Drosophila melanogaster: one gene and its partner. The protein of the gene in region 1 interacts with the protein of each later gene in a pairwise test. Each region holds a gene or a part of one and is shown on either strand. Other genes may lie near its edges. The genes, in order: Cyp6a23 and Rchy1.

The links.
Region 2: the proteins of Cyp6a23 (region 1) and Rchy1 interact in a two-hybrid assay, tested with the Drosophila melanogaster proteins (one large-scale study listed by BioGRID).

What each region holds. Positions count from the first base shown.
Region 1 is NT_033778.4:14,873,867-14,877,793, forward strand, and holds Cyp6a23 (cytochrome P450 6a23), read left to right. Parts: upstream 1-1,962; 5' UTR 1,963-1,994; coding exon 1,995-3,081; intron 3,082-3,146; coding exon 3,147-3,568; 3' UTR 3,569-3,788; downstream 3,789-3,927. Other genes in the region: Cyp6a17 (cytochrome P450 6a17), read left to right, coding at 114-1,197, 1,258-1,679. UniProt on the Drosophila melanogaster protein: May be involved in the metabolism of insect hormones and in the breakdown of synthetic insecticides.
Region 2 is NT_033779.5:6,463,504-6,467,430, forward strand, and holds the start of Rchy1 (ring finger and CHY zinc finger domain containing 1), read right to left. Parts: upstream 2,167-3,927; 5' UTR 2,026-2,166; intron 637-2,025; 5' UTR 341-636; coding exon 1-340. Other genes in the region: HemK1 (HemK methyltransferase 1), read right to left, coding at 3,021-3,261, 3,316-3,836, 3,896-3,927.

The DNA of each region.
Region 1 (3,927 bases):
TTTTGTGTGTGAAAATGAGAGATTGGCGAAAAGAGCGAAGTCCTCATACGCGAATGAGCTTGCGTTGTGGCATCCCACTTTAAAGTCAGTTTGTATTGGACTCTGGACGTGAAATGTTGTTACTGGCGCTAATCGTTGTGATACTATCACTGCTCGTCTTCGCGGCCCGACGACGTCATGGATACTGGCAGAGAAGGGGCATACCGCACGACGAGGTACACCCGCTTTTCGGAAACATCAAGGACTGGCCAAATAAGCGGCACATTGCCGAGATCTTTCGGGACTATTACTTCAAGTACAAGAACTCCGATTACCCATTCGCTGGATTTTTCTTCTTTTTCACCCGCACTGCTGTGGTCACCGACATGGAATTGCTCAAGAGGGTGCTGATCAAGGACTTCAATCACTTTGAGAATCGGGGAGTCTTCTACAACGAGATCGATGATCCGCTGTCGGCCACCTTGTTCAGCATCGAGGGTCAGAAGTGGCGTCATCTGCGGCACAAACTGACACCCACTTTTACGTCCGGCAAAATGAAGAACATGTTTCCGATTGTTGTGAAAGTTGGAGAAGAAATGGATAAGGTCTTCAGAAGTAAAACCGCTGCGGATCGGGGTCAAGTTTTGGAGGTTGTGGATCTGGTGGCACGGTACACCGCCGATGTGATCGGCAACTGCGCATTCGGTCTCAATTGCAACAGCTTGTACGATCCAAAGGCTGAATTTGTGTCAATTGGCAAGCGGGCGATCACCGAGCATCGCTACGGGAATATGCTGGATATATTCCTCTTTGGATTTCCCAAGTTATCGCGCCGCTTACGTCTGAAACTAAATATCCAGGAGGCAGAGGACTTTTACACCAAGATCGTGAGGGAAACCATTGACTACCGTCTACGGACGAAGGAAAAGCGAAATGATTTCATGGACAGTCTGATAGAGATGTATAAGAATGAGCAGTCGGGAAATTCGGAGGATGGCCTGACCTTTAACGAACTTCTCGCTCAGGCTTTCATATTTTTTGTGGCTGGGTTTGAGACAAGCTCCACGACCATGGGATTCGCTCTATATGAGCTGGCCAGGAACCAGGATGTTCAGGATAAACTCAGGGAGGAGATTGGCAATGTGTTCGGCAAGCATAACAAAGAGTTCACCTACGAGGGAATCAAGGAGATGAAATACCTGGAGCAGGTTGTGATGGGTATGTTTCTTTAATCCTTCTTATTTTTTATTTGATACATTTATTTAAATATTGTTTTAGAAACGCTGCGAAAGTACCCAGTACTGGCTCATCTTACAAGAATGACTGACACCGACTTTTCGCCTGAAGATCCAAAATACTTCATTGCCAAGGGAACCATTGTTGTGATCCCAGCTTTGGGCATTCACTATGATCCGGACATATATCCGGAACCGGAGATATTCAAGCCAGAACGCTTTACCGACGAGGAAATCGCGGCGAGACCCTCGTGCACTTGGCTTCCATTTGGAGAAGGTCCGCGGAACTGCATTGGTCTGCGGTTTGGAATGATGCAAACCTGTGTGGGCTTGGCCTACTTGATCAGGGGCTATAAATTCAGTGTTTCCCCGGAAACTCAAATACCCATGAAGATTGTCGTTAAGAACATTCTGATATCGGCCGAGAATGGTATCCACCTTAAAGTGGAGAAGCTCGCCAAATAAGTTTTTAACAAATACATTATTTGTGTTCTTTATTTTGCTTGATTCACTTACGTGATCGATTAGATTAGGCTGTGCTCAGTTAATATGAATTTAAGCCCTCTTTAACTAACCTTTTTAATGTGTTATGTGTTAGGCAATGTTTTGATTTGCTAGCAAACATCACATAATAAGGCATACACACACCGAAAGCAATAATATTCGCTTTATCAACTAGCTTCTGAGTACATTTGAAGAGATTAGAAGAGAACGTTCGCGTATAAAGGGGCCATATCATTCCGGTTGGTAACTCAGTGTGGAGCGGACTGAGAACGAAATATGTCGCTGTTACTAACGTTGATCGCACTTCTAGTGTCACTGCTTTTGTTCATGGCCCGCCGACGTCATGGATACTGGCAGAGGCGGGGTATTCCGCACGATGTGCCCCATCCAATATACGGAAACATGAAGGACTGGCCCAAGAAGCGACACATTGCGATGATCTTCCGGGACTACTATACAAAGTACAAACGTTCCGTTTATCCGTTTGCCGGGTTCTACTTCTTTTTCACCCGGTCTGCTGTCATCACCGACTTGGAATTGGTCAAGAGGGTGCTGATCAAGGACTTCAATCACTTTGAGAATCGAGGAATTTTCTACAATGAGATCGATGATCCGCTGTCGGCCACCTTGTTCAGCATCGAGGGTCAGAAGTGGCGTCATCTGAGGCACAAACTGACACCCACTTTTACGTCCGGCAAAATGAAGAACATGTTTCCGATTATTGTGAAGGTTGGGGAGGAAATGGAGAAGATTTTCAGTGCTAAAACCACCACAGGTGAAGGTCAAGTTCTGGAAATTGTGGATCTGGTGGCTCGATATACGGCTGACGTAATCGGTAATTGCGCCTTCGGTTTAAATTGCAATAGTTTGCAAAACCCGAATGCAGAGTTTGTGACAATCGGAAAAAGGGCGATCATAGAACGTCGTTATGGAGGACTATTGGATTTCCTGATATTCGGATTTCCCAAACTTTCCCGCCGCCTGCGGCTTAAACTAAACGTGCAGGATGTTGAGGACTTTTACACTAGCATTGTTAGGAATACTATCGACTACCGATTGAGGACCAACGAGAAGCGTCACGACTTCATGGACAGTTTAATCGAAATGTACGAGAAGGAGCAGGCCGGAAACACTGAGGATGGCCTGTCCTTCAACGAGATCTTGGCACAGGCCTTTATTTTCTTTGTGGCTGGCTTCGAGACCAGCTCGACGACCATGGGATTTGCCCTGTACGAGCTCGCCCTCGATCAGGATATTCAGGATCAACTTAGGGCGGAGATCAACAATGTTCTGAGCAAACACAACAACGAGTTTACCTACGAGGGAATCAAAGAGATGAAGTATCTGGAGCAGGTCGTCATGGGTAAGTAAAATCCCAAGAGGTTGCATAACTTTACCTAAAGGGCCTTTTCCCATTTTACGCCACAGAAACCCTTCGCAAGTATCCAGTTCTGGCGCATCTAACGCGAATGACCCAGACAGATTTTTCGCCTGAAGATCCTAAATACTTTATTGCCAAGGGAACCACTGTTGTGATCCCAGCTCTTGGTATTCACTATGATCCGGAAATCTATCCCGAACCGGAGAAGTTCAAGCCGGAGCGATTTACGGATGAGGCGATCGCCGCGAGACCCTCGTGCACCTGGCTGCCGTTTGGAGAAGGTCCCCGGAACTGCATCGGTCTTCGGTTTGGACTGATGCAGGCCTGCGTGGGATTGGCCTATCTAATCCGAGGCTATAAGTTCAGTGTGTCCACAGAAACACAAATTCCCATGAAGTTTGTCGTGAAAAGCATTCTTCTGTCTGCTGAGAATGGCATTCACCTTAAAGTTGAGAAGCTTTCCAAATGAGACTATAAACAAAATTATTATGGGCTTTAATGGTTAAATATTACAATTTTATTTGGTCATTTATTCACGGCTATATATGATTTTTTTGAATTAAATCCCTCTTAAAGCTCATATTCAGTATATGAGAGTATAGCATTCAAATTAAGCCTTGTTAGTTTGTTGTTGTAAATTTATTGTAAATATTTGTGGTAATACCCTCAATAAATTTTTGTTCAGCTTTTTTGCTATTAGCACCTCTATCTGGAAGTGAACAGTTAAATTTTCTTGGTTACGACTAAAAAAGAGGAGCAGGCGATAGCTAGATGGAAAGCTCTTCTTCATAAAAGCAACGCTTGGAATTGGTTTCTCAAATCAGTCTG
Region 2 (3,927 bases), on another chromosome or scaffold:
TGAGACTCGGCGTCGATTTGCATCTTCGCAGCTTGGCGTGCGCTGGATGATACTTGCCCGTCATCGTTGTGGGCGTCACAATCAGCTGGTGTTGCTGGTGGAGATGGGGATTGGGATGGGGATGGGGATGGGTATGTGGCTGCTGCGCTATCTGAGCAAGTGGAAGCGAAGCGGGCAGAGCAGCCTCCGCTGAGGTCGTCGTGGCTGACGATGAATTTAAATTGACTTGATTGGGCTCCTTTGTATTGGTAACTATTTGTACATCGATGCCGCCGCTGCCCATGTATCTGTTGTGGTTTTCATTTAGCGATATTCGGCGCGTTCGCTGGCGGTTCTTCATTTTGCTGCAGGAGCTAACTCTATGTATATATAGAGTTATGTATGTACGTCTATAAAAGTGATTTTCCACTATGCCTCGCAGCTGCAGTAGTCGTGGTTAATTGCTGGCCCTTTCAATTGCCGCCGCGAAGCATTTAAATTACTGGCCGATGCTGTTGTCGTTGTGCCACATGTAGACTTTGTATCCGCACTCAAAAAACCGACTGTCCGGTTTCCCTTTTCACGCGATCGCAACTAACTTTCGTTTGTCCAGCTCATCCTTGGGTATTAATGGGCTCGCACAGGTGACACACTCGGCTGAAGCGATTGAAAAGTGTGGGAAAGTGGTAAGTATTCCATTAGCAGGCCATTTCTCACACTCCGATCGATCAGATTAGAGTCTAAGCCGGGTTAACCCCCCACACCCCCACACAATTTTTGACACACAAATGAAACTACCGAGGCGGCGTATTTGCATTTCAATGTTTCCCAGTCCCCGACTGCGAAAGGCCATCTAAACTAGATAACGACTATCTTGATTTTCACTCCGTTTTCTTAGCCGTCGCGCACTGTACACAACGTACAATGGGGAACAAGAAGTAGTAACTTTATGTAAGAAATTATCAAATAAAAGATCACCTATGATGACTTTCTTCCATTTCTGTATAGTTTTGGATCAGATATGGAAACCTATTAAACCCATATCATTATAAAATGACAATTAACCTGTTAAGAACCCAAATATGTGCATATGAACTACTATCTTGGCCGCTGCTGTTTTTGGATGGGACCTTGTGCCATGTGAGCGGCAGCATATAAATCGCTTGCTTAGCCTGCAGGTCGCCAAAAACGTTCACAGCTCCACGGATTGGGAATCGCAGTGCCTTGGCACACGGTGCGGATGATGAATTAAAATGCGGGCAGGGAGCAGCCAGCCACACACTTGTTAACACAATCGGCGTGCGACTTTCGCTCATCGGTTGGCTGTTGCTGCAAGTCGGTGTTGCACGTAGCAGGTGCACATATTGATGCTGCCAAAGGAGGCATTACCAGCTATATATAAATGTATATATGTACATACTTTTATATATACTTTTATTTGCACAGCGCGGCAAGCTGCAAATTCGTTGCCGAATCTTGTTTGCTCAGATTGTTATTCGCATTTTCTGCGCCGGGGAGCAGGGACCGACAATAAATATTGAAAGTGTGCTAAAATTACAAACGCAAGGCGATTAAGCCAGCCTCGCCGGAAAACCAGTCGGCGAAAAGAACGCAAGTTTGAACTCGATTCAATTCGGTATTCATGTTTACGCACGCACGCACTCACGCACACAGGCACACACTTGCACGCGTCGATCGGGCGGATAAATGCATTAAGTAATGTCACGATCTGGCTAATTGGTTTCTAAAAGTTTCCAATCCACATTCAAACCGCCTTCAAATCGCAGTTTGGGCGTATGTATATATATATACATGTACATATATATGCACATTCATTCATTTACCCAAATCTATATGGTCAAATTTATGTAGAATTTTTAAAATCAATTTCTCGTTTAACGTGTTTCTCGTTTTTGTTTTGTTTCGGCGCTTTTTAAGTTCCCTCTTCTTGACTTTCATCAAGCGCTCATTGTGATATCCACTGAAACTCCGACTTTAATTATGATTTAGCCATTTGTTAATTATACTACACATATGTATGCGTACTTGAAAGTGAAACAACACACACCAGCCGAACGAAGGAGATCGCAGCTCGAAATCGTCAATTGAATTAAAGAGCTACGACAATCTAAATCCGCGTTCCACTCGCGCACCCGGATTCCGCAGACTCGTCCGGCGCGAGTTTCGACTTCCAACTGGCAACGGAAGTTAGCCACTTGTTGCTCCGAGCCACTCTGTCGGAGCTTTTATCCGCTCCGGAGCTTAAAGCTCTCCAGCGGAGCGGTTACAACAAGATTCAGATGCGAAGTCGGGGGATTTATGCACTCGGGTTCATAATTATGGTAATCCTTGTGGACATGTGTCCTTGTTTTCATAATCAGTACACCTATAAGCATTAAAGTGGTAACTTTAAGCAAAAACTTTCTAATTTGCATAGAAATATTCTGATTCTATATATTGACAGGATACACATCTTTCAGGCCAAAAATATGGTTAGCATTTTGCTTATCGCAGATATAGAATACATCAGTTTGATTAAACAGCATTATACTCGATCCGCGATGATCATTAACACCCTCCAATTTATGGCAGCAAGCCTCTGGTTATAAATCATAATCGCCATAGTTTAAATCAGTGACCAGTTATTATAGGTGCATTATACTTTTAACCTATTGATCTTTAAAATCATGTTAATCCATTATTATAGGATCAAAAATGCAGTAGAAAGCCTTAGGTAAAAGTCGTTGTGGTTTTTGTATACTGATAATAATATGGTCATAAATCAAACAGCTAATTGCATTGTGCAATTTATACAGGTATATTTGTGAAGTAATACCGCCTGCGGTTGTTGCTAAAAGATTCAGAGACGAAACTTAAGGATTAATAGCGCTATATATTCTGTTTATATAGGTGTGAGTCTCTGGGCAGCGTGCAGGTATGTCTGGTCTTAAATCAAATCACAGCTAAATGCATGGGCAACGTTATAGCTAATTGCATTGTCAAAGTCATAGCATTCCGTCCTGTCTATGGCGCAATCTCGCCTAGACCTTCTCGATCTGAACGAATCTCTCGCGCTGATACTGGTCACTGTAGCCGGCGATGAACTTGAGCCGGCCCTCGTACTTCAGATTCATAATGGTCTTCACCATCGGCGGGTGGTCGTTGCCCAGTTCCAGCCAGAGCTTGCCACCGGGACGCAGGTGCCGACAAGCCAAGTCGAAAACCAGTCGAGCCACCCTCAATCCATCGGACCCACCGTCCAGGGCATTAAGGTTCTCATACCTGGGGATATAAGATAGTTAGTGCACTGCATCCATCTGGTATAACATCACTTACACCACGACTTCGGGATGCAGAAACTGAAACTCCTCAGTTTTCACATACGGAGGATTGGAGATGATCAAATCGTACTTCTTGTCCTTCAGCGCCTCCGGCAGGTACTTGTCCTCCTCCATGGTGTGGTTGTGTACCTCAAATCGATTCAGCAGCCCCAGCATTTTGGCATTCTCCGCAGCCAGAACGGTTGCCGCCTTGCTACGCTCAATGGCAGTGGCCACCACCTGCGGCAGACTGTGTAGCATGGACAAGGACATGGCGCCCGAGCCGCAGCCCACCTCCAAAAGATCGACGTGCTTTGCGTTCTTGTGATCATCGATCACCAGGCGCATAAACTCCTCCGTTTCGGGGCGTGGAATGAAGACCGACGGCGATGTCTTCAGCGTAATGTCCATGAAGTCCCACTCGCCAATGATGTGCTGCAACGGCATGCGGGCACAACGGGCCTCCAGGAAGCGCTCGAAATCCGCCAGCTGGCCGGGATTTAGCTGCAGCTGGTCAAATGAGTCAGGAACCGAACTCTACGGAACGTAAACATGGTTAGTGATGTTGATAGCCAGCTTTTCTCACAGATACTTACAAACTTCTGCTTCAGGACATGCGACACGATGC